Drosophila melanogaster: one gene and its partners. The protein of the gene in region 3 interacts with the protein of the main gene of each other region in a pairwise test. Each region holds a gene or a part of one and is shown on either strand. Other genes may lie near its edges.

The links.
Region 1: the proteins of cher (region 3) and NC2alpha interact in a two-hybrid assay, tested with the Drosophila melanogaster proteins (one large-scale study listed by BioGRID).
Region 2: the proteins of cher (region 3) and lqfR interact in a two-hybrid assay, tested with the Drosophila melanogaster proteins (one large-scale study listed by BioGRID).

The regions. Positions count from the first base shown.
Region 1 is NT_033778.4:21,667,220-21,673,280, reverse strand, and holds NC2alpha (negative cofactor 2alpha), read right to left. Parts: upstream 3,130-6,061; 5' UTR 3,035-3,129; coding exon 2,993-3,034; intron 2,786-2,992; coding exon 1,802-2,785; 3' UTR 1,688-1,801; downstream 1-1,687. Other genes in the region: CG15676 (uncharacterized protein), read right to left, coding at 1,004-1,552; CG42381 (uncharacterized protein), read left to right, coding at 3,463-3,526, 3,588-3,744, 3,801-3,810; CG42379 (uncharacterized protein), read left to right, coding at 3,810-4,064; CG42380 (uncharacterized protein), read left to right, coding at 4,073-4,270; PIG-M (phosphatidylinositol glycan anchor biosynthesis class M), read left to right, coding at 4,293-5,693; CG42365 (uncharacterized protein), read right to left, coding at 5,783-6,061.
Region 2 is NT_033777.3:22,408,227-22,418,487, reverse strand, and holds lqfR (liquid facets-Related), read right to left. Parts: upstream 7,188-10,261; 5' UTR 6,904-7,187; coding exon 6,851-6,903; intron 5,840-6,850; coding exon 5,638-5,839; intron 5,579-5,637; coding exon 5,209-5,578; intron 5,128-5,208; coding exon 5,031-5,127; intron 4,969-5,030; coding exon 4,211-4,968; intron 3,946-4,210; coding exon 1,178-3,945; 3' UTR 686-1,177; downstream 1-685. Other genes in the region: CG13850 (uncharacterized protein), read left to right, coding at 7,825-8,002, 8,066-8,776, 8,840-9,089, 9,151-9,425, 9,479-9,548, 9,608-9,818; CG13855 (uncharacterized protein), read right to left, coding at 9,968-10,232.
Region 3 is NT_033777.3:17,120,978-17,128,046, forward strand, and holds the start of cher (cheerio), read right to left. Parts: upstream 4,413-7,069; 5' UTR 4,262-4,412; coding exon 4,236-4,261; intron 3,810-4,235; exon of another isoform or gene 3,782-3,809; coding exon of another isoform or gene 3,512-3,781; exon of another isoform or gene 3,500-3,511; intron 1,706-3,499; exon of another isoform or gene 1,436-1,705; coding exon of another isoform or gene 1,421-1,435; intron 1,111-1,420; exon of another isoform or gene 802-1,110; coding exon of another isoform or gene 616-801; exon of another isoform or gene 600-615; intron 1-599. Other genes in the region: CG42779 (uncharacterized protein), read left to right, coding at 616-801; CG45079 (uncharacterized protein), read left to right, coding at 3,512-3,781; CG17477 (uncharacterized protein), read right to left, coding at 5,150-5,953; CG31269 (uncharacterized protein), read left to right, coding at 6,154-6,879, 7,019-7,069. UniProt on the Drosophila melanogaster protein: Involved in the germline ring canal formation. May tether actin microfilament within the ovarian ring canal to the cell membrane. Contributes to actin microfilaments organization.

The sequences.
Region 1 (6,061 bases), on a different chromosome or scaffold from region 3:
AAGTCCACGTTTGGCCAGCCACACGGGTATACGTGGGTCAGTAAACCTACTTCCGGTTGACATAAATACGCCTTGGACATGAAAACTTGGCACTGGCGGCGCGCCGCAAGTTGTTTTTATTGTTTCTAACCTCTTTTTTTTTTGCGCCATGACTCAAGACAGGTGGACAGCGTGGAGTCCACGAGTGCAGGTGTGCAGATGCAGATCTGATTCCCCCAATTGAAGGGGCTTCGATTAGCCGAGCCCAAACTCTTTGGCGGATTCACTTGATCTGGTTGAGAGAGCGCAGCAATCTAATCTCGACTTTGGGCTTGGCTAATCAAAATTCGGGAATAGTGCTGACCCTAATCTAGTGTGCCAAGCCCATGGATGAAAATTCATATAATTCAAAACTGCACCTTTGCTCACTGGGAGCGGTTGGGTAATTTTATTCGCTTGCAATAAGATTTTCCCACGCGATATGTGGCTCATCTGCTGGTCAGTTTTGTCCTTTTGCCATATAATTTGGTATCCTTGGAAGGGAATGGAGTCTACATCATGGGTTGACCCACATCGGGCACAAATTAATATCAATTGTGGCTGGCAGATTGCGTGTGCGAATATGCGGAGGGCTGGAGTAACAGCTGGACGAAGGCATGGGCATGGGATTGAAAGGCATTCAATTGTAATTGGCTGTGACCGAGGATTACACAATGACTAAGCGGTGCTCCCTGGCGAAATTAAGTCATAATTATTATGATGTGTATAGGCTTGTAAATAGCCGAGCTCGGTAATAAAGGTCACATTTTGTAGGGCACAGTCTGGGATCCTACGGTCCCGATACTCTGACCTCTTTACCGGGCTGCTAATAATGTAATTGTAATGAATGAATTAGTGGGGAACTCCAAGGGAGAGCTGTACTTCGTTGGAAATTAAGGCATTTAGACAATAAAGACTTATTTAGAACGAATGTCTTTATAAGCAACTACAAGGTACTAGCAATTTTAAGGATGGTGGGATGCTTCTAGTTCTCCACTTCATGTTTATACAATACGGCTAGGTTCATCTCAATCGTGTTCACCTGATCCTGCAGATAGTCGATATCGTGCTCATGTTGCAATTGCTGCTTCACCAGGCTGGTGATGTCCTTTTTGATGAACTCCTCCGCCTCGGACAGCTCGAATTCCATTTGCAGAGATGCGCCCACTTGAAGGGTAACCTTTTGCACTGGCGGTATGCTCACCCATCTGAATACTCCCTGTGCGATTTGCACGAGGCTGTGAACTTCCTTGTCAGGATTGTCTATGAACCTCCTCACCAATTCCAAATTATTTTTGGCAGCCTCCAAACGGGTTAACACTGCTGTGAGGTCAGTCTCCAACTTGGCAGCCAGTTCGCTGTATTGCACATAGAAAAGGCGTTGCATCTTCAATGCCGCTGGAACAGTCGAATAGAACTCTGGCTTGGCGATGTAGCTGACGACATCGTCAACTAACTTGGCCTCTGGGATGGGCATAAATGACTTTCGGCCGCCCAGAGGCGGCTTTTTTATGGTGTCTATGAATGCAAACATTTTCAATAATTGTTGAACTTGTTTAGTACATCTAATTCAAAGATAAACTGATTTAATATCGTATGCAAATTAAACAGCATTATCTGCTAGAATGTATAAATTTTCTTTCTCTATTTAAAGTACTCCGCATTGCGTCAGCTTAAAATCCAGCATGGTCTTTATTTTGCAAAAAATGTTATTGTGATTTCTTAGACCTAGAGTACATATTAATGTATCAATAATTTAAAAGCGCATTCACATAGATCCTAATCAAATATTGTCATAGTCTTCGTCTAATTCGAAAACGGTTTCAGTGGGGGTCGCTGATGCCGCTGTGGCCTTTGGAATGATGGGAGCGCTGCTCTTTCCAGCCATTTGGTTCACATTATTGTTGTCCCCCGGCGTGGCCGCTGGTAATCCAATAGAGGCGGGGGGCACACCACTGCCAGGTGCTCCACCGGCCACGATATTCGTCAGATCGATATTGATCACCGGAGCAGCTATGTCGAAGTTAAAAGCTCCAGATCCGGCGCCCGATCCTGACCCAGAATCAGAGGCGTCCGGTGTGCACAGGTTCGCCGTCGGCATTTGCACGTGGCTGTAGTCGATCTTGACAATGGGCTTGTTGAGTTCGTAGTTGCAGATCGGGGCGGGTATGGCAGTATCGAGCTGCACCGACTGTTTCTTGAGGTGATTGGGCGGTCTGCCCCGTGGCGTGTAGGCCGGCATGGACCCGGAGCGGGCCAGCTTGGCGGGCAGGGTGGTGCTGGTGGTGGGAGTTTCCTGGGTGGAGTGCTGCGACTGAAACTGCCGCTTGGTGGCTGCGGCTCCTCCGCCCGATCCGGCTCCGTTGTTCAGACTCATGGAGCGCATGTAGGCAGCTGTGCCGTTCGCCTGCGAGCGCATTGACGTCGATGGCAGGCTAAGATCATATGGCGTGTCTGAATCTGGATACTGTTCCTCTGGCGAGCTGCGTAACACATCGTCCTCGTTGTAGGCGGCCTCCTCGGCCACACTGATGTCGGGTATGTTGCGGACCAGCTCCTTGAGGAAGTCAAAGCGTTTCTCGGATACGATACACTGCCTCATGTGCGATGGCGATAGCGTCTTGGCGTTGCGCGCATTCGTGATGCGCAGCGTCTTGGTCAGCAGCGACTCCACGAAGAGCTCCAGCGTGCGTGAGATGATAACAGGCACCGCCTGGGCCACCTTCCCGATTTCCTCGTCGCTTTGCATGATCTTCTTGATGCGACCCTGCAAGGAGTTTATGGTAATGGTTTGGAAACATTATAATCTCGCACCGGTTTGGTTTCTCCTCTACTTCTTTTGAGCCTCTGATTATGCGAGGCGTGTATGTACATATGTATGTACACATGCACGAAAACTGATAACCCATCTTCGGCGTTCACGGCCGCCAAATGGCTGGAGCTTTCCTGTCGCCAATCGGTGGTTTCAACTTACCGCCGGAAAGCGTGCGTTGTATTTTTTCTTTTTCGATGGCATTTTCCGATTTGTGAAGTAATCGTCAAGAGTCCTAGTGAAATAAAACAAATGTGTGTGTGTTTTTCACACAAGAACAGTTCCTTGGTGCCCAACTGTCGGCGTCGATGGGTGAATGGCAGTTGCTCTCGCAGCAGGCGGGGTATTCACAGGGAAGCAAAAGGTATTAATATCAAAATTTGAAAGATTAAAAATTTTTGTACATTATAAGAGATGTTATTTCTTTTTGTTGTTATTTATGTGATTGTTTTTTATTTTGCTTTGATGTATTAGGTTTCCTACACAGCTGACCGTCGCGCAGTCTGGCTACCTTGATCGTGCACTGTGAATGACTACAACCGCCAAGAAGAAGAAGAGTGCAGAACACTTCCAAGTACTTTTCACATATTGCAAGAGCGATTTAATATCGTAAGAATTCTGGGCAGGATTACATGTCTGACACTCGCAAGGATCCCTGCAAACCGAACGCCTGCCGCATACAAGCCTGTCTGACCAGTAAGCACCGCCGGTGACTCCATTTTCATGGTTATGTAAGCTGACTTGCACTCGGTTACAGAGAATCACTACCAGGAGGACAAGTGCTTGGATGTCCTTGAGGCAATGCGCCAGTGCTGTTTAAAGTGGCACAAGGAATCGCTTTGCTGCAGTGGAATCGATTTGGAGAAGACTTATCTACCAGACGCATCCAAGGAAAAGAACGCAACCGGCAAGTCGTGAGTTGTAGCCAACTTCTCTATTCCATATACACTATTATCAACTCGTTTTGCAGGAACAAATAATGTCCATACCGCAGTATAGGCCTCCGAAGGAAATTCAAGACTTGCTGGACCAAAAGGAGCAACAGCAAGCAAATCAGCGCAGGCGAACCGCTGTGCTACCCAAACGCACGTGGATTCAGCGAAATCCACGCCTGTTCCAGATCTCCTTCATCACAGGCTCACTTCTGATCTTCTTCTCCAAGCCCCTGTTTGACTGCTTTATCGCCGATCCCCTACCACCGCCGGAGAACAAAGTTCCGCCTCACAAGCGCTAAGCTAAGGCATGGAATCGGTGCGCAAAGCCAACCAAAGAATCCGCAACTATCCAGTTCTGCTAAGCAAGTGCGCGGACAAAGCCACTGCGTATGCGGTTTGCGTGTCGCGTGATCTAAACGTGCAGCACAAAATCTGCGACACCGAGTTCAAGGAGTTCCTAAGCTGTATCCGCAAGACCGCTTTGGAAATGAAGACCAAGCTTTAGACAAACGTAAACAATAAACACGATGACTCAAACAAAGGCTGCGACCACTGGATGGCAGCGACTGGGTCGCCGCATCCTTTACACTAGCTTTCGGACCCATCTACTAATATCCGCCCTGCTGCGAATAGCTTTAATTTGCTACGGACAATTACACGACAGTCAGTCCGCCGTGCCCTACACCGATATAGACTACAAGGTGGTGACTGATGGAGCCCGTCAAGTTCTGGCTGGGGACACACCCTTCGCCAGGCATACTTACCGATATAGCCCAATCATGGCATATCTGCAGACTTTTAACATCCTGCTTCATCCGGCGTGGGGTAAACTACTGTATGCGACATTCGATCTTCTCATCGCCACACTTATTTACCGTCTGGTGCACATGGAAATCAAGAGTCAGTACCAGAAGACCGTACAACACCTGCTTAGCAAGTTCAACAGGCCACGGGACTCGGACCAATCGCTGGATGCCCTGGATGAGCGAAGTCATCCAGAGAACTTGGCCCGCGCCTCTGCTTGCTTTTGGTTATACAACCCGCTGACGGCTGTAATATCCACACGTGGAAGCGGCGATTGCTTCTCAAGCTTCTTCGTGATACTAACTATATACCTGCTGTTAAAATCTGAGCACAATGTCACCAGGAGTTACTGGCTTATATTCGGAGCGGGCTTGGCTCACGGTCTAGTGATACACCTCCGTCTGTATCCGTTGCTATTCAGTTTGGCATACTATTTATCGCTATCAACGCGGCTGACACAAACTCCCCTCGACTTCCTGTGCCAAATCCTGCGGCCCAACAAGCAACAACTGTGCCTGATAAGTGGAACATTGATCAGCCTAGTGGCCTTCACTTGGACCTTCTACACAATGTACGGTTGGGAATATATATATGAAGCGTACCTGTACCACTTCGTACGCAAGGACCCGCGACACAACTTCTCGCTGCAGTTCCTTCTACAGTACCTGGGCAGTGCGTCGAGTGTGGCGGAACCTTCTGCGATCCTGAAGACTCTAGTGCTGGCTCCGCAGTTCCTGCTCATCCTCTACTTAAGCTTGAGCTTCGGTCAGTTCCGCCAGACGCTGCCATTCTGCATCTTTGCCGTGGCCTTTGTCATCGTCACCTATAACTCGGTGGTAACCTCTCAGTACTTCATTTGGTACTTGGCCATTCTGCCGCTCTGTTTGAACAACTTCAAGATGCTGTCGTGGAGAAGGTGCTTCGGTCTCCTGTTCCTCTGGCTGCTTGCCCAGGCGCTGTGGTTGCTGCCGGCCTATTTGCTGGAGTTCCACACATGGAACACCTTCTACTGGATTGGACTGCAAGGAGCCGTATTCTTCGCCACCAACGGATACATTTTGGAGCAGCTGTTGAGTCATTACGGGTTCACACAATTTAAGATAAGCTACAGAAAGTTACTGTAATCAAACAATCCGCAAAGCAGAGATTTAATATAAAAAATAAACACAAGATATCACAATTCGTACTGGCACTTAAAATCGAATGTAGTTAGTTAGCACTTCGTTGAGCTCAGAAACTTAATGTAATTAAATAGTCTTTCGTGCTCCTCGATACGCAAAGCGTAAACTCGATTAGATATACCCCAGACATCACTGCGTCCGACCATGTCAGTCTCGAAAACGTTGCCCAGCTTGTTCCACTGTACATCTGTGAACTTCTTTTGAACCCGACGGTACAGTGCTCGTGCACAGACTGTTTCCACGGATATATTATTGGTGTATATGAATTCCTTGCGATTCTCGTACAACTTCCTGGTGTGCGCGTAGTCGCT
Region 2 (10,261 bases), 5.3 Mb from region 3:
GCTGATTGGTTTTGTGGAATGCTTTGCTGCGGTGCCGGAGCCCCAAAAATGTTCGGACTGGTCATTGGCGACAGTCCAGGGAATCCGCCACCCGTCTGCACATTCAGTGGCGCCTTTGCCGGACTGTTGGTCTTCAGGGCATTCATCGAAGGGGCCGGGGCACTGGGCTTGCCCGACTTGCTCATCAGCAGATTGTCCAGGTCAATGTTCATCTTGCCGCCCTTCAGGTCGCCCGACCAGGTGGCGCCCACAGCGGTAGACTGGACACTGGCAGCGGCGGGGACTGCGCCTCCGTTGGTATTATTGTTATTATTGGTCACCGACATGGGCTGGAGCAGATTATTGCCCGTGACGGCGGGAATGGGAGGCATCATATTGTCTGGAAAAAAACAAATGCAATAATAATGTTATTCGGGGTTTCAGTTTTCGTTTTTATTTTGGTTTCACAAAAAGCTGTTTTAAATATGTGGCTTCGATAGAATTGCGAATGCGGCTACTTGGTGATCGGCTAATGAGGTGGTCACTACTCGGAAGCGTTTGCGCAGCAAATCAAGTGCAATTACAGAAGGAAAGAATAGGTTCGTATCTGTTATGTGGCTATTGCCGTTTTGGATTGGTTTACCTAATGAGTCCGTGGCTGCGGAGGCCGCACAATGCCCGGAATATTGAGAAATGCTTTTCAATTCATCATTATTAAGTACATATGTATGTATATATTTGAGAAATAATATTGGATCCAATGTGTGTGTGGTTTGCAATACAAATATGCAGTAGGAGAAAAACAAATAAACAAAAGAAAGTAGTATAAATGAAGTAAATCCATATATGTATACCTGGAATACAATGGCTTCGAGGGCGATAGATATTTAAAAAATAATTCCTAGAACTGTTGTCTTATTTCTAGCAAATACCTAACTCTCGAGTCTATTATTAGTTTATACAATTATAAGAAAATGTTTAAGGACACAGCGTTAACGTTTGTATGAGAATTGATGTAAAGTATGAAGTAATCTTGTATTTAATCATATATATCATATATTAATTCGGAAATATTTCAGTAAAAAATTGTTCGTTTTTCCGTAACAAGAAATATGCTTAGTGTATTTTAAATACAGTTTTAATATTTTAAATCTCTTAAAACTCTATAGGCTGCTTTCAAAACTTTTTGATGGCCAAGTTAGGCAGCCTGTTCCATGGCGGCTGTATCAAAGAGTTTGTAGCAGGTGTCCAAAATGCTTTGGGCCAGTTCACGACACTCCTCCGAAGTCTCTCCGCCCACCAATGGCGATCTTATGAAGTCATTCAGCCAGCGCTGCAGTTCGTTCAATGACTCCGCAAAGTGCTGGGCCAGCACATGAGCTGGTGTGGTTACCAAGGCGATTCCTATTAGCTGCAATGTGGCCGCTCGGACGCGGGCCTCGGCATTGAAACGCACAAAGGCGCATAGGTCAAAGATCTCGCGGGTCATCGCTGGCAACAGTGGACAGTTCTGGGAGCACATAACCAACACGGACATGGTGTTTAGCAGGTTAACAAGCAACTGGGTGTCGATGTCGTGAGAAATATTTTCGTATTTTACGTAAAGCATCTGACGGGTGCGCTGTCCCCTCACCAAACTGAAGAAAAATGTACCGGCAACGGGGTGAAATGGGTTGGCCTTCTCCATTTGATCTCCAGCTTTGGGCTTGCTGAAATATCTCTTCGTCTTGGCCCGCAGCCGGTCGCGGATGATCCTTTGCGCAGCGGCCAGACGAGCGGCCGGACTCTCCTCCTCCTGTTGAAATTCGAACTTTCGGGGATGCTTGGCTGCCGGTGGTATAACATCCACAATTTCCATCTCATTCTGCATGTTTTCATCGCCAGAAAGTTCTTTCGCCGTTGCTGCCAGTACCTGAAGGATCAGAATACGGACACTGGCCGAATAGAAGGAGTTATCCGTGTGGAACTGGCGGCATAGGTACTCGGCACAGGGACCAGGATGAGCCACACAAATGGCCACGCAACACTTAAATTGCGTACGTTCGAATTGCTCATAGTAGAACTGCATTTCCATGACCAAGAAAAGTTGTAGCAGATCCAAGGCCAACTGAGTATCATGTTTGGCCAGCTGACCCCGTATAAGTTGCTCCGCTGTGCCCAAGGCTCCTTCGAACACCTGATAATTCTCCACCTTTTCTCGGAGCAAGTGCAGTAAGTCGATGACGAATTTGGGACGTTGATCAATGGTGGTGGTTGTATCGTTGGACATGTCATAGGGTTTCAATTCATCGTCGTCTTCATCCAGTGGCTCGTCGTCATCCGAGTCCAGCTGCATGTTTACATTCTGATTTTCGGGAGCGGGATTCGCTTGTATTTCAATATTCGGCTTATGCGGCTCTTTCTGCTCTGTAGTACTCATAAAGTCACTGAGATGAAGTTCTAATTGTTTCAGCTGATCCTCACAAGGCTTCTCATCTAGCTTAGTTTTGCTCGGGCTTTCAAACTGGCCAAGTTCATCAAACTCTTCGAAGATGTGCCAATGAAATGTATCCTTAAATGAATCGTACTCAAATCGTAGACGATCATCCTCCTTCGCATCAGGCAAGGCAATAAAATTGAAAATTAGCTCCACGGTCTTCATTCCCACATGACGCTGCAGTGCATCTGGGGACTGCAAATGGTTGCTGAGTCCATCGTGGAGCTGACGCTGGATGTTCAAATCCATTACAAGATTCCCACAAAGGCATTTTGCCGCCAACACAAGCAATTTGGATATAGCCAAGTGCTCTTGGCTGCCCAGTTTCTGCAAGGAAATGCGCTTCGACCAGATTCCAAGCAACTGATTCAAAAGAACCTGCAGTTGAGCAGGAGCTACGGCGTTAAGATAACTGGCCAATGTTATAAGCTGCTTATTATCCACGGGTGTGCGTTGAAGAGGCAACTTCTGGAGCAGGCAATGCTTCCAATGAGGTGTCTCCAAAGTGGCAGCACCTATAAGAACGTACAGGTTCAATCCCGCAGAAAGAGCCGATTGTGCTGTTTTTAGGCAAGCAGCGGGATCCAATTCTTTTAATATGGTATGAACTACTTTTCTTCCTCTGGGAGCCACCGCGTAGTCCTTAAGTACTCGTAGGAGGCTTTCCAAAGTTGAAACATCGTAAATAAGGTTAATAGCCTGTGACAAAAGCCAGGAGTACGGTTCCAAATCAAAGTATTCCCTATTATCATCGCACTGTAGGACAAAGTGCAAGGATTTCAGCCACTGGCGCAGCAGGAGTTTCTGATAAGAAACTGGAGCAAACGTCTCTGGCAGTCTTCTACCCAGTCGATTGGCCACCTGGGCTGGCAGACTGATTAGCAATTGAAAGAACGCTTTCACCTGGGCATCCAGCTCCTCCACTTTTCTTTCCGGCATAACTTTGATGGTCCGCGCAAAGCGCTGCATTAAGGAAGCTCTCTGGCGGGAGATGTGCAGCAAGGCGATAGAAATTAGGCTCTCATCCTTAACCATGTTTTCCAGTAAGGAACTAATAGTACTGGGAAACTTATCCAATCTAGTCTGAAGCGACTCAAAGGCAACCGATACATAATCAAAGCTGTGATCCAGTTTAAAAATGTTAACGACTTCAACATCCTGCGATGGCTCTGGCCAATCCTGGCTGAATAGCTCTGTCAATTGATTCAGCAATGCGGCATACTCTCCATGGGCAAGACAGGTCCAGTCGCACGTCTGACGATCGAGGCCAACCAACTGCTCAGGTGTGGTAAATCCGGGCAGTGCGTTTGAGTTATGCAGTTCCCCCAAAATAGCTGCTACTTGGGCAACGGCTGAAGCGCTCTGGACCTGCATTAAATCGCGCAGCTGCTTCTGTGCCTTGGAAAAAGCTAGACGCATTGCCTCAGATGGTGGCTGTGGGGAAGCCGACGACATCGAATCATTACTGGATGCCAACTGCTCTTCAACAGCTACGAGAGAGAACGAGAAGAGAACGAGTGCATCCGATTGGAAAATGTTGCCGTTTATATGTGGGAGGATGAGATAGTGTATCTTTGTGTGGGCTGTGGAGCTCGAGGTAGAGATAACGGCTCTAGTCAAGCTCGGAAGGCGCACCTTCATGCAGCGATACCTAAATATATCATGAAGTGACTAAGGCCAATGCAATTACTCTAATCTTAAAACTATTTCAAATTTAATAATATGTTAAGCTACAAGAATCAAACTACAACTCACCCATGGGCATGCTTTGGTGAATGGACAGATCGCCCAGGCCTGCCAGGAGATCTGTAGCCGTTGTGGCTGCTGCCGTCGAGGTGGGAGCTGAATTAAACAGGTCAAACGAATCGTTCGCCGGCGTGGCAGTCTTCAGCAAATTACCGTCCAGCGCAGATGTCGACGTTGTCGAGCCTTGGAACGCCGCAAAGTCGGCGAACTCATCGTTCGCAGCCGGAACCAGGCCCGTTGATGGTGGCTCGCTGATCGTCGATCCCGCCGAGGGCTGCCCGAAAGCAGAGGCGAAGTCGCCGAATTCCTGCTGGCTAGCATCGCTGGCACGCGGATTGAAGTCATCATCGTCATCCACAATCACGGCAGCACTGTTCAGCGTCTTCTCCTGCCCCGGCGGTGGCGAGCAGGTCTTGAACAGATCGTCCAGCAGATCGTTGTTATTGCTTTGCGTATTATTGTTTGCCTTGGAAGTAGACGGCGATGGCGAAGCGCCGCCCATCAAGTCCACGCTGGTGGGAGTGTCACGGTGAGTTGGTGAGTGAATGCCAGCAGCACCGCCAGGAGCTGGCTTTCCAAAGTTTGCTGCCGCACCCAGATCGATCTTCTTCTGGGACAGCGCTGGCTTGGCAGAAGCCGTTGAAGTGGGCTGCTTGGAGACAGGGGAACTGACGGTCTTCGAACGAATGTTCATGTTGAGGCTGGAAGGTTTGGCCTCGCTGGCTACTTCGGCAGGACTCGCACGGTCATTGTATCGATAGTTACGTCTGTGAGGAGAAAAGAGTACATTAGGATATAGAGCAGGTTAATCGGAAAAGTGAAAACTTGCCTTGGACTGGGTGAGTCGCTATCGGATCCCTCTCGCTCTCCATCGTAGTGAGTATCATCATCCTCATACCGATCCTTGTCGGCGCTTTTGTCGGAGTCTGAAGAAAAATCATCAATATTAATATTACATATAGAGAATTTGAACAAAAATCTTAAAAAAATAAAAATTTCTTACTTACACCAATTGTCTCCACGACTAGAGCGATAGTCGCCATCATTGTAGCCACCGCTGCCACCGCCGCCTCCTCCAGATCCACCGCTATAGCCGCTGTAGCCACCGCTTCGCATGCCCATGGCGTCGCTGCTCATGCCGATGTACTTGTCCTTGTTCTTCTTCGCCTTTTTGCGCTCCTCGCGCAAACGATCATCATCCTGAATAAAGTCTATAAGCTCTCGTACCTTATGCCTAACATTAATACCCTGATCCTTGCCGCCCTCGTCGGTGAATGTATAGTTCTCCAGCGAGCGCAGATCGTAGATGTGCTCCCGAGAGGAGGTTACCACCCGTTCAGAGCCGTTTCGCACCAAATAGTTTAGCAGAAGGAGGCTCTGTAAGTAAATATATACTCGTTAGCTCTATATTTATTAGTTTAAACTGAAAACGTTACCTTGTACGTGCGTCGCCAGTTGGTTTTATTGTCCTGCAGCATGCGCTTCCACAGCATGGACATCACCTCCGGGAATGTTTCGTATGAGAAGGTGGAATAGGCCAATTCCTGCATGAGGGGTCCTGTAGGCCCCCAAGGATCATCGTTGGTGGCCTCCCGCACCTTGCCCTCCGTTTCCGTGTAATTCATCACGACATTGGTGCTGCAAGTGGGAACGAAGTCATTGTTTTATTTTAAAGTAACTATTAACTATTCACGATGTTAGTCGTAGAACTTTTGTACATATGTAAATACAAATCTTAATCCGAGCTTGTTTCCTTAAATAATTGATATATACTTAAGTAAAGAAAAAAGGCATATTGACTGGGACATTCCGTAAACTCAATTGAATAGATAATCAAATAGATAGAGGGCCAGTTAATCAGAACTGGTATTTTTAAGTAAACGTTGTGTGACGATATGGATATACAATGCAAAGATGCAGATAAATAAGTAATACGCATGGCTTGGCTGCGACGTTGATAGACGTTCGAAACGTGATGGAAGTGGGCCAATTGTCGCAAATGGGCCATCTAGGTGTTCCTTATCAGTTCGAGATAAGCCCTAGGAAAGGTGTACCCGCGCACTTAACCTAATGAGTTCGGTGTTGGCTATCGAGCCACCATTATTTATTCGAACTATAGGCTCGCTTTTAGAAATAACTACCCCATAAAAGGCGCAGGTGAAAGGGGACACCCATAATTAATAATTCGATGGGGGAAAGAGAAACACCCATTTCACTGGAAAGCCTGGAAGTGGAGCTGTTAACACAGGTGAAAAAATTGTTATATTTGGGCAGTCGAAAGCAAACAAATTGTTTCTTGATAAAGCCCCACACACACAGGCGCATATACACATGGATATCAATATCGGAATGTGGCTGTGTTGGTAAAGCTCTCTTGAAATGGCGAACAACCTTGAAAGCAGTTAAAAACGTGAACCTAATCCAGCACCCCGATGCAGTTGATCCATAAGTAAGATATCTTTATGAATTATTAGGGATTTATGCATGACATAGGGCTTTTGAAATCCTTGAGGAGTTGGGGGCGTGGCGGGAAATCAGAAAACTTGGGGCGTGGGAGTCTTAACATTCACTTCGGCGTTAAGGGAATGTTATACACACATCCCATTACATATACGTATGGATATATCCTATATATTCCTGATCACTTACACCTTGTCCGCCAATTCGCGCACTTTCCACATGCTGATGAATTTATCCACCATTTTGAGACTATTGAATGCTACGGAATTTTTCACACAATCTCGTCGAAAAGTGGCTGGAAAATCCAACTACAACAAGACGTCGAACTCGTTTTCGCTTGGCGTGCCGTTTTCTGACTGTTTTGCAGCTGACGATTTGCACTTTTGCATGGAAACGGCGCACCTGTCTCGCACCCGCGCTTTCCGCAAACAAAAATGTAAAAATTTAAACGAAAATTGTAAAACAAAATCACAGCAGCTAATATTTGGTGAGCTGTCGTGTCCAGTGTTGCAAACAGTGTTTCCAACTCTCACTGTTCAAGTGTAGCTAAATCCGATAAATAGCTGTAGCCGTTATTAATGAAAATTAGCTTTTTAAATTTGTGCTCCAAATAGTTCAATAAAATATTAGTTTTCTTATTAATAAAGCACAAAGAGAAATCGGCATAGTTATAAAATGGGAACCATTTACCAATAACCGAAATAGTTCAATAAAACATTAGTTTTCTTATTAATAAAGCACAAAGAGAAATCGGCATAGTAATAAAATTGGAAGCATTTACCAAATAACCGAAAGCACATGCAATGACACCTAAGTTCCGGAATAAAAAACGCCAGATCTAGCTAGAAAATGCTGAGTTGGCAGCACAGCTCGCAGTGTTACAAAAGCTTTGCATGGAGCCGACGGGTCTTACCCTACACTACCATCAGCTGAACGCTGCTGTCATCTGTGGATTCTCAACGTTCAATAGGAAAGTTTACTAAAATAAATGAAAATACTAAATGAAACGTGAAGGATATCAGGGGAAATAAGACGGTTCAAGTCATGAATATAAGCCTATATCATTGGCATGCTTTGTAAAGCCCCTTCCTGGCCGCTAAAAATGTAAACAAAAAGGTTATGTAAACTTCTGTGGTCTCTTGCAGCGTGTGGATTGACTGAAAATGTTGGGACTACAACGTTTTGCCGGCAGTTTTGTCACCCAGTTGTACCGCCGTGCAGCCTTCAGCAGCAGTGTCCGGGCAGCGGGCATTCCCGTGGCGCCCACTGGAGCACAATCGGATGCAGTGGAGCCGGAAGCACGCGCGCCGGCTGTGGAGGAGGCGGCCAAAAAGCCCAGGGGTAGGTAGATTCTAAAATTGTTGTCCTCCTTACTAATTGGTATTCACTCCATCCTTATTGCAGGCCACATGGTAGCCGCTGCTTTCGAATCCCTTAGAAACGACGATCCCAAAGATGAGAGCAAAAGCCAAGCCTCCAGCAAGATCGATGAGCGTATCATCAACGCAAAGACAGTCAATGGACTGCTAACTATCACGGAGAACAACAATGGCTTCTCGAGGAAGCATGCCCTCAGAATTGTCTCCATACTGGCCGAGTGGAGCACCTTGAATCGAGTAAAGATCTCGGAATTCGAGAACGACACAAGGTTCCTACGTATTTGCCGGATGTTGGGCCGGACGGTTCCCAAAAATAATAATGCTAACAACAAGGACCTTGGTGACAATGGGACGGCCAAGCGGATTTCCGGCTTCCGAACAGATGACCTAAACACGGTGCTTGGCGTAGCTGGTGACGATGAGGCCGCTAAGCTGATAGCTAGCATCAGTCTGCCCCAGATGGTCAAGGTGATGAGCACCCTGGCCCAGCGGAAGAGGCGTAGTACTCCTCTCTTGCGCTCCCTGGCCTTTAATATCAGCAGCGCGTCGGAATCGCTGGATTTAAAGCAAGCGGGGGATGTGCTGTTCGCTATGTCCACGTTGAATTTCCAGGATTCTGTTCTAGGCGCTAAAGTGTGTGCGGATGTGCAATCGGCGCTGCCTAAGAATGTGGAGAAGTCTGCCGTTGTGGGATCCATTATCACCAGCCTGGGCATTTTACGATACCGGGATTTGGGTTAGCTCGGATATAAACACATCAGAAAAAGTTGTGATTAATGTAATTTATTTTTTTCGGTAGATATCTTGGAATCACTTACGCAGTGGCTTTTAAAGAATAGTGAAATCTGTCGCCCCCAAGATCTCAGTGCCTATTTCCTAACATCGGCCCTGCTAAACTTCAAAAGCGCTCAATTGGAGGAAGTGAGCAAAAAGCTAGTAAAGTCTATTGTCCGCGAGGATTTTACCAAGCAATCCGAGTGGTTGAGCTTTGTGTGGTCGCTAACAATGTTGGGTCTAGTAGAACACGGCCACTTGGCTTCTGTTTTGAGGTTTGTTCTTTGAAACGCTTGAAAATCTGGAATTAAAACTTAAATTTGTAATTACTTTCAGTGCGGACTTCCTAGAGACGTTGAAAAAGGACAAAGCTGGTGTCACAGCTACCTCCAAAATGAGGCTACTCAACTTGAATAGCTATGCCCAGTTAATAGCCACAGATTACAAGGGTCCACTATTGCCCACTGACAGTCCTGTCTATCAGGTGCCCATGGCTCATCCTAAAGCAAAGCAAGTGCTTGTAAATGGAATGCTAGATGCCCTGAAAAGTCTGCTGCCGGCCAGCAATCATTTACAAACTGCTGTAGACACTAAAATGGGCTTCCTTATAGGTAAGATATTCCTTGTTAATGTGTACCATATTCCTGATTAACTGTCGTTTCAGATGCACTGTGCCATTTTGATGCTAACAAAAACCCCCTGCCTTTGGACAAGGAAAATCCGAATGCAATAAGGCAAGTTATTACACGTTTTATAAATTAACTTGATTATAATGAATGAAACTTGATTTCAGGGTGGCGCTGATGGTCATCGATTTCCATGACATTTGCCACGGAACGCATCGCAGTGGCAGCGGCGTTACGAATCTGACATTTGATCTGCTAGAGAAGAGTGGTTACCACGTTATTCCCGTGCCCTATAATGAGTTCAGCACCAGTGACAAACTACTGAAACGCGTTCAGTATTTGGAGTCAAAGTTCAAGGCGATTGCAAGTAGCAAATAATTGCAGTTATAGTTTATTTAATTTTTCTTGTAATGATTGATCAATATTTGAATTGTTAAAATTTTGTAAATGTTAAATTAGGCGCTGAATTACAAGCTAAACCCAAATTTCGAAAGGTGAGTTACTGGGAGTCATTTTAACCACATAGTTTAGACGGCATCCAGTTTACTGGAACGTTGCTTGTTCATGCCCACTTTCCACCATTGGCCCGTTTCCTGGAACTCGGTGGCCACAGCAGCTAAGGTGTGGAATAGGCTGCGAGCCAGCATGTGAAGATTACCGATGTGCAGAACGAACTTGGGATCATACACCTTCTCAATGTCATCGATCTTGTAGTGATCTCGCGTCTCCCGTTCCGTCAGGCAAATACAGTTCCACGGTGCCCAGTCATCGCTCTTGTTCCAACGCGGTAATCTGAAATAGATATATTTGACGTTTGATTT
Region 3 (7,069 bases):
GACGTAAGAGTGGGCGAGACATCATTTTAAAACCAACTTGCGCTGCGTCTACTTCTATAGAATCATTATAATTATTAATAATTATGCATAATAATAATAGCAATAATAATAATACTGTTAACTTTTTAGCATTATTGTTTCCGAGATCTGTTAGAATAAGTTATATAAGTTAGAAAACGATTTCTTATAGCTTTTAGATACTTTTAAACAAACCTAGTATACCCTTATACTCTACAATTAACGAGTATAAGTTGACGATTAATTTGTTAGGTAAATAACAAAGCTCTAGCTAATGCTAATGTTCCTCATAAACTCAGCTTACGATTTAAAATACTTTAAATAATTAATATAAAGCACTTGTTTAAGAAAATCATAACCAATCCGGTTAAAACGTGTACTGTATATTTACACGTGCTAAACATTTGCCACGTGTACATTTATTTTTGGAAAGGCAAATTAGAGTATTTACTCAACTGTCCTAATCCATCACTCCATCCACCATTTCATCCATCAAATCTTGCAAGCACTTGTGTTAACAATTGTTCTGAAGTCTTATTCGTATATAAGGGCAAAATATGTTGAGTGAAATATCAGTTTCGATTTAAAGTTAGCAACATGAAGTTTTTTGCCATCCTCCTCCTTTTGTGCACCATGGTAGCTGTTGCAATTGCCGCAACAACAACAACAACAACGGAGAACATTGATTGGGGTTCTGCAAGTACAACTGAAATACCGGCAACAACTACAGCAACTCCATGTGAATCAGCTGACGCCAAGAAATTATATTTCTTTTATAAATAATATGGCTTCAAAATATTCATATTTTTGAGTAAAATAAAAATATAGAACAATCCCAAAAACTTCAAACACCTAAATAGCACTTCTACAAGGTTCAATGCGTATAACAATCGTATATTTTGGACTCGAAACCTTCACTACATTCCACAAGGAAGTGGAGCTGCTCGGGGACAGCTGGCCATATGGAACAAGTGCGTCTGGCTGAGGATACCCTTATATGGAAATAAACATTTCAAATCGGGCCAAAAACGGCGGCCAAGTGACGATGAATACGTGAGGCGCCACTTGCATCGCTGGGGAATCGCATGAATCAGCGTCGACGAACGCCGCCAATGAAATGCTAAATAAATTTGCACTTCCATTTTAATTAATTTGAATTTATTTGAAACTAAAATTACACCCAACATTTGCACAGCGAAGGCGCAAGTGAGCAAATTTCGACCGCCCATTGGACTAAAAATAAATTGACAAATATTTAGTTTTTATGAACAGGTAATGAGAACCACATGTCCTCCATTTTCGTCGTGAATATATCGTGGAAAATCGTGTGGGTGAAATGCAACGTTTGCCGATCGGATAAGGGCCACCCTAGGCCCACAAAACAACAAAAAAAAAAACTCACTTTTCTGGACGCCATATCGATGGTTTTTCTGTTGGTTGATAGGGATCGCTGTCGAATGATCTCGAGTTGTAATACTTTAGTGGGGGTGCTTAATACTGAACACTTGATGGCCCGCTAATTACACAATTCCTGGCGTGGCGAGCACGTTTCTCTCTAAAAAAACACAACACAAACACGACTGGCAAATCCTTCGTTTTTTTTCGTAAACAAATTTCAGAATTTCTTTCTTTTGGTTTTGAAAATGTGTGCACGAAATGCGCGCGTTGCTTTCGGGTTCTTTGCTACACGTACTCGTACTGGCCGCGACAATTTCTCAACTCGACTGAGTTGTGTGCGCCTCCTTGCTCAAAGTTTTTATGCAGCCAAATGCTCGCCGCTTATTGCTCAATTTCTTTATTATTATTTTCTCAGATAAATCATACAGACGGGGATCATCTTAAGTAACTCCCTAAGCAAATATTAGGTAACGCTTATAGGTTATAATTCCAAAAGATACTTTCTACACACTCCTACTGGTTGACAGATAACAAAGGTTTGCCTTCGATTTTTTCTATTATTATTTCAAGTTGGAAATGAAATTAGAATACAATATTATTATGTATATCATAGTTATAGTATAAAATATAAAATTGTGGTTTGTATTTTTATTTTTTTCAGATCATATTAAATAAATGAATACATTTCTCACAAGTTTCTAAAAGTGCATCCTCGTCTGTCAAAGGTCTTCAATACATAATTTGTTCAATATTTATCTCGCTTCATGTTTTGTGTTGTGTTTTTGGTATTGCGTGTGACGTTGACTCGGCGTCGCAGTCGCAGTCGCAGTCGACGTCGACTGCACTCTTGACTCTGTTTGGCAGGTTTTTGGCGACGCTACCACATGAGACCCCCCAGTCCCCACCCACCGCTTGCCCCGCAATCCCCCCCCACCCCCTGCAACTCATCACAAATGTGATTTTCGACGCGCAGCTGATTTTGTTGTTATTCTTTTCATAGAACTGGTTGCCGTCTTTTGTGTTTTATGTTTTTGCTTCAATCTTCTCTGCTGCTGGTCACAATTGAAAGTGCCTCCTGCAAAAATGATTGGCTTTTGGCCATCTCTGGCGGTCGCCCCAAGTACATTCCGCATTTCCCCGTCATTTGACTCACGAGGCGCTGATAAAGAATCCCAAATCGGGGGATCGTAGAACCCGTAGAACTCTTAAATGAAAAGCATATGTACAGTTGTATGTTGTTTATTCTTGTGAGATGACTAACTAGCTCCGGCCAAATCAGCTGTCATAAATTCCTCGATTTTATTTGGCTTGAATGTTTATGCTCGTTTGAAGATAAAACGCAGCAAGAGCACGCTAAATATATCAAACAATTTTATTCTGATTATCTGATTTCAGTGCTATCATGGCGCTTAAAAGGGGTTTTAGGAAGTCTTAAGTGATCTACCAAAATCAATCCGTAAAATAAAATTAAGAAAACTAAACTATAGTCACCATTTTTATGAACTTCAAAAAACCAGTAAGAATTTTAAGATCTAATTATGCTTAGATATGAAACACCATTCATAACAACTCTGTACTAACATTTCTCAAAACCTATTTAATTTCCGTGTGAACGCGCAGCGCGTGTACTTTTAAACAAATTTTATTTTTATTGACCATCATTATTCATGGCGTTTGAATTAATTCAACAGCTGCTTGGGCTGTTAAAATCTCTTGTTGCGCATACGCCCCGTTGCCGTCAAGTAATTTCACGTGCCAACGCTTTATTTAGCTTTTCCCGATTCGGCACTGTTACTTGGATATTTAGAAAATAATTGGAATATAATAAACAATGGCACAGTGGGCTTTCAAATGAATCATACAAAGTCTTCTGAAAATTTCAAAATTTTTAGATACAACAGCTGGTGATTAATTTGGCAATAGAATATGAAAAATAAATATTAGTTAAATATTAGGCTTTTTATTGAATATTTGGCATTTGCCCAACTGTTTTAAGGTATTATTTCTTTAAACAATTGAAAATAAATAAGATAAGAAGTATATAATTGATAAAATTGTATCTATCGTTTATTAGTTTGTATTAATGCCGGCTAAAATGAGGTTCTTAACGATCTTTGCGTTGTTTTGCGTCTTGGCAGGCTGCTATTGCTCTGACTCAACTACGTCATCCGGATATTATTGGGACCCATACTCATCATCTTGGGTTCCGTACGGAGATTCTACCACATCGTATCCCTACTGGGAGGATACTACAACATCTGCACCTGTTGCTTCGTCAACTTCCAGGTCTCCATGTGATGGAAAAACCCAAGGACCCTGCACAAATCTGCTAAAGGGTGCACAAAAGGTTTATGTCTTCTATTAAAAAATCACTTAAACGTGTACGCCTAGTTAAATAAATCATTTGGGAAATACATATGCCGGGTCCCCTTAGGTACTATACCCCGCAGATACCCCAGGTGCGGCAGAGCATGCGATTGAGGCTAAATAAAGATCAGAGGCTCTATTAACATCTGGTGCCCGACAGATAAATGCACTTTACGCTCTCACAACTGAACATTTAATGGCTCTTTCTTTGGGATCCAGCAAAGAGGCCTTTCATCGTCTGAATATATCACGAAATGGCAACGCCTTGTACGCAATATTTCAAACTGAAATTCACATAACACAAAATATTCTATTTTATTTTTGGTAATATATTTATTCGAACGGTTTTTTTTTGGCCGTATACTTTTAGCGCAATATTCATCGCTCTTGGTAAGAATGTAAAATACATTGCAAAGTCGTTTTGCCTTAATTGGGAAAATTATTTCACATACTTTGGCATTTTCACTGGATTTAACATAATTTTTTCCTCGACTTTGCACAAGTTGCGAAATTTCACTTGTTATATATTGCTGTATATATAAAAATATGAGCAAGACACGCGTCTACATATAGCTCACGGATTGCGTATACGCCGCGTATTCCAAGAAAATTCGAGGCCCGCACCGCACACGTCCAAGTCAATACAGCAACTGAAAATCTTTTTCAAAATGCCAAGATACAGCCCACAACTGAGAGTTTTCCCGGTTGTTTTTCCCCCATCTGAACAGCGAGTGCCGATAGAAATATTTTCAGAATTTCCATGCGCCGTGAGCGATTTGTGTCGAAATTTTTCTCACAACTCAAATCATGACTAAGACCACGTCTGTCTGGGTCTACCTGCTACCAATTAGATCAGGACGACACGTGTGACCAGTGCGACACTTCTCTTCTTCCGAAATAAATCAGAAAACGGCGGGTGGCTGAATCACTAAGACATTCCGGCTGTCCGACTGAACGGACTCCTGGCTGTGGGCCAAGAATATCACTTGCCTCCAGAAACATTAAAATAATTCACCACTCCCGCCAAAAAACAAGTGAACTACAGCAACCCAAGTAATTAAAAAAATAGAGGATGCCCCGTACAGAATGATCCCTTACGAGTGACCCGTAGAGGATACATCCTGCCCTTCGTTTTCAGTTCGACTTGCACGCGATTTGTTAGCGGCTTCTTGGCGGCTTGGTGGCGATTTGTGTGCGGCTTTGGTGCGGGTTTTATGCGGTTTTGGTGCATGTTTGGTGATATTTGATACAAGGCTGGCAGTTTGGGAATTATCTTATGTTTAAATGGCTTAATAAATTAATAAATTATTTACAGCATTAAGGAATTACATTATGAATTGAGGTTCTTTAATGAGTTCAAATGTTTTTATCCATCTATTGTCTGCTGGTTGACCTGTGCACATTTGCCATTGCCACTCATCGTTTGTCGCATCCAGTCGCGGTAGTACATTATATTCATGAATATATCAGGCACACCCTGGGCGCAGGGTACAAAGAAGTTGAGTATGCCCACCAGGGTGCCCTGGTGAACTAGAGGACCTCCAGAATCTCCGTGGCAGGCTCCAATATTTGCCTGACGATAAGCACAAATATGGCAAGGTCCCAGTTCCAGATCCTCGTAGGCAGACATCATGGACTCGCAAGCCGGGGAGTTGAGGTGTTGCTGCTGGACACGCTGCAACTGCGATGGCAACGACCCCGCCGCTGACTGAGATCCCCATCCGGTGAAAACCAGCTCCGAAGCTCCTCTTGGAAAAGGGGATGTGGGTAGTTCAACCGCCTGAGTTAGTGCGTTAAAGGTAATGCTCTCGTTCAGGTGGAGCAGGCCAATATCATTCTGGTACTTGGGACTGTCATAGTTGCAGTGCAGGTAGATGGCGTCTGGGTAATAAACAGCTCCTGGTTCCGCATAGCGAATTGTACCAGTGGCCACTTGAAGTCTGCTAGTCGGGTATCCTTTGACACAGTGACCAGCCGTAATTATCCATCGGTCCGATATGATGGCACCACCGCATAGGTGACTACCCAAAAGAGTTTGGAGCGACACCTGGTAGGGGGCATCTCCTTCAGCTGCATTCTGGCCACCCACAATGAAGTGCTCCAATGCCAATAAGTCACAGTAGAGTGAACTGAACACGAGAATATAAAATAGGAAACGTGCAAGCGACATGGCTGAAATGCAATCGCGGACTGAGCTAGTCTGGTTTTACCCTTCGCGATTTTGATTGAACTATACGAAAGTCAAAATGGCCTGACCAAAGGTTCCAACAATCGCGCCATAAACTGATTTTTTATCTGATTCCGATAAATGGTCAAGAAGGCAGCAAGTACGACTGAAAACTTCATTAGCTGACCAGGGCCAGTAACAAGATGTCGGCAGTGGTTTTACTTATTTTGTTGGGTCTTTCGGGACTCGTATCCATAACAGCCATACGAATCAAGGGAAACTCAACGGATGGTCGGTTTTACAAGGATCAACGGATCATCGGTGGTCAGGCAGCTGAGGATGGCTTCGCTCCCTATCAGATATCCTTGCAGGGAATCTCCGGTGCCCACTCCTGTGGTGGTGCCATAATAAACGAGACCTTCGTCCTGACAGCCGCTCACTGTGTCGAAAATGCCTTTATTCCATGGCTGGTTGTCGTCACGGGCACTAATAAGTATAACCAACCAGGAGGCAGGTATTTCCTAAAAGCCATTCATATCCATTGTAACTACGATAATCCGGAGATGCACAATGATATTGCCCTGTTGGAATTAGTTGAGCCAATTGCTTGGGACGAGCGCACTCAGCCGATCCCGTTGCCCTTGGTGCCCATGCAGCCGGGTGATGAAGTAATCCTCACTGGTTGGGGATCCACGGTCCTCTGGGGCACCAGTCCCATCGATTTGCAGGTTCTATACCTTCAGTACGTTCCCCATCGCGAGTGCAAAGCCCTGCTGAGCAACGATGAAGATTGTGATGTGGGTCACATTTGCACTTTTTCGCGGCTGGGAGAAGGTGCCTGCCATGGAGATTCCGGTGGACCTCTGGTCAGCAATGGTTACCTGGTGGGACTGGTCAACTGGGGATGGCCCTGCGCAACAGGAGTTCCGGTAAGTGATCGGAAATCGTTTTTGTTAAGGCAATGAACAGCAGAATTTTGTAGGTGAATTTCATAAGAATACTTTTCCATGCCTCTTGGAAAACATAAAGATTCTAAGAACCGAATCAGAATTTTTTTTCTGTTTTCAGGACGTTCATGCCAGTGTTTATTTCTATCGTGATTGGATACGCAATGTCATG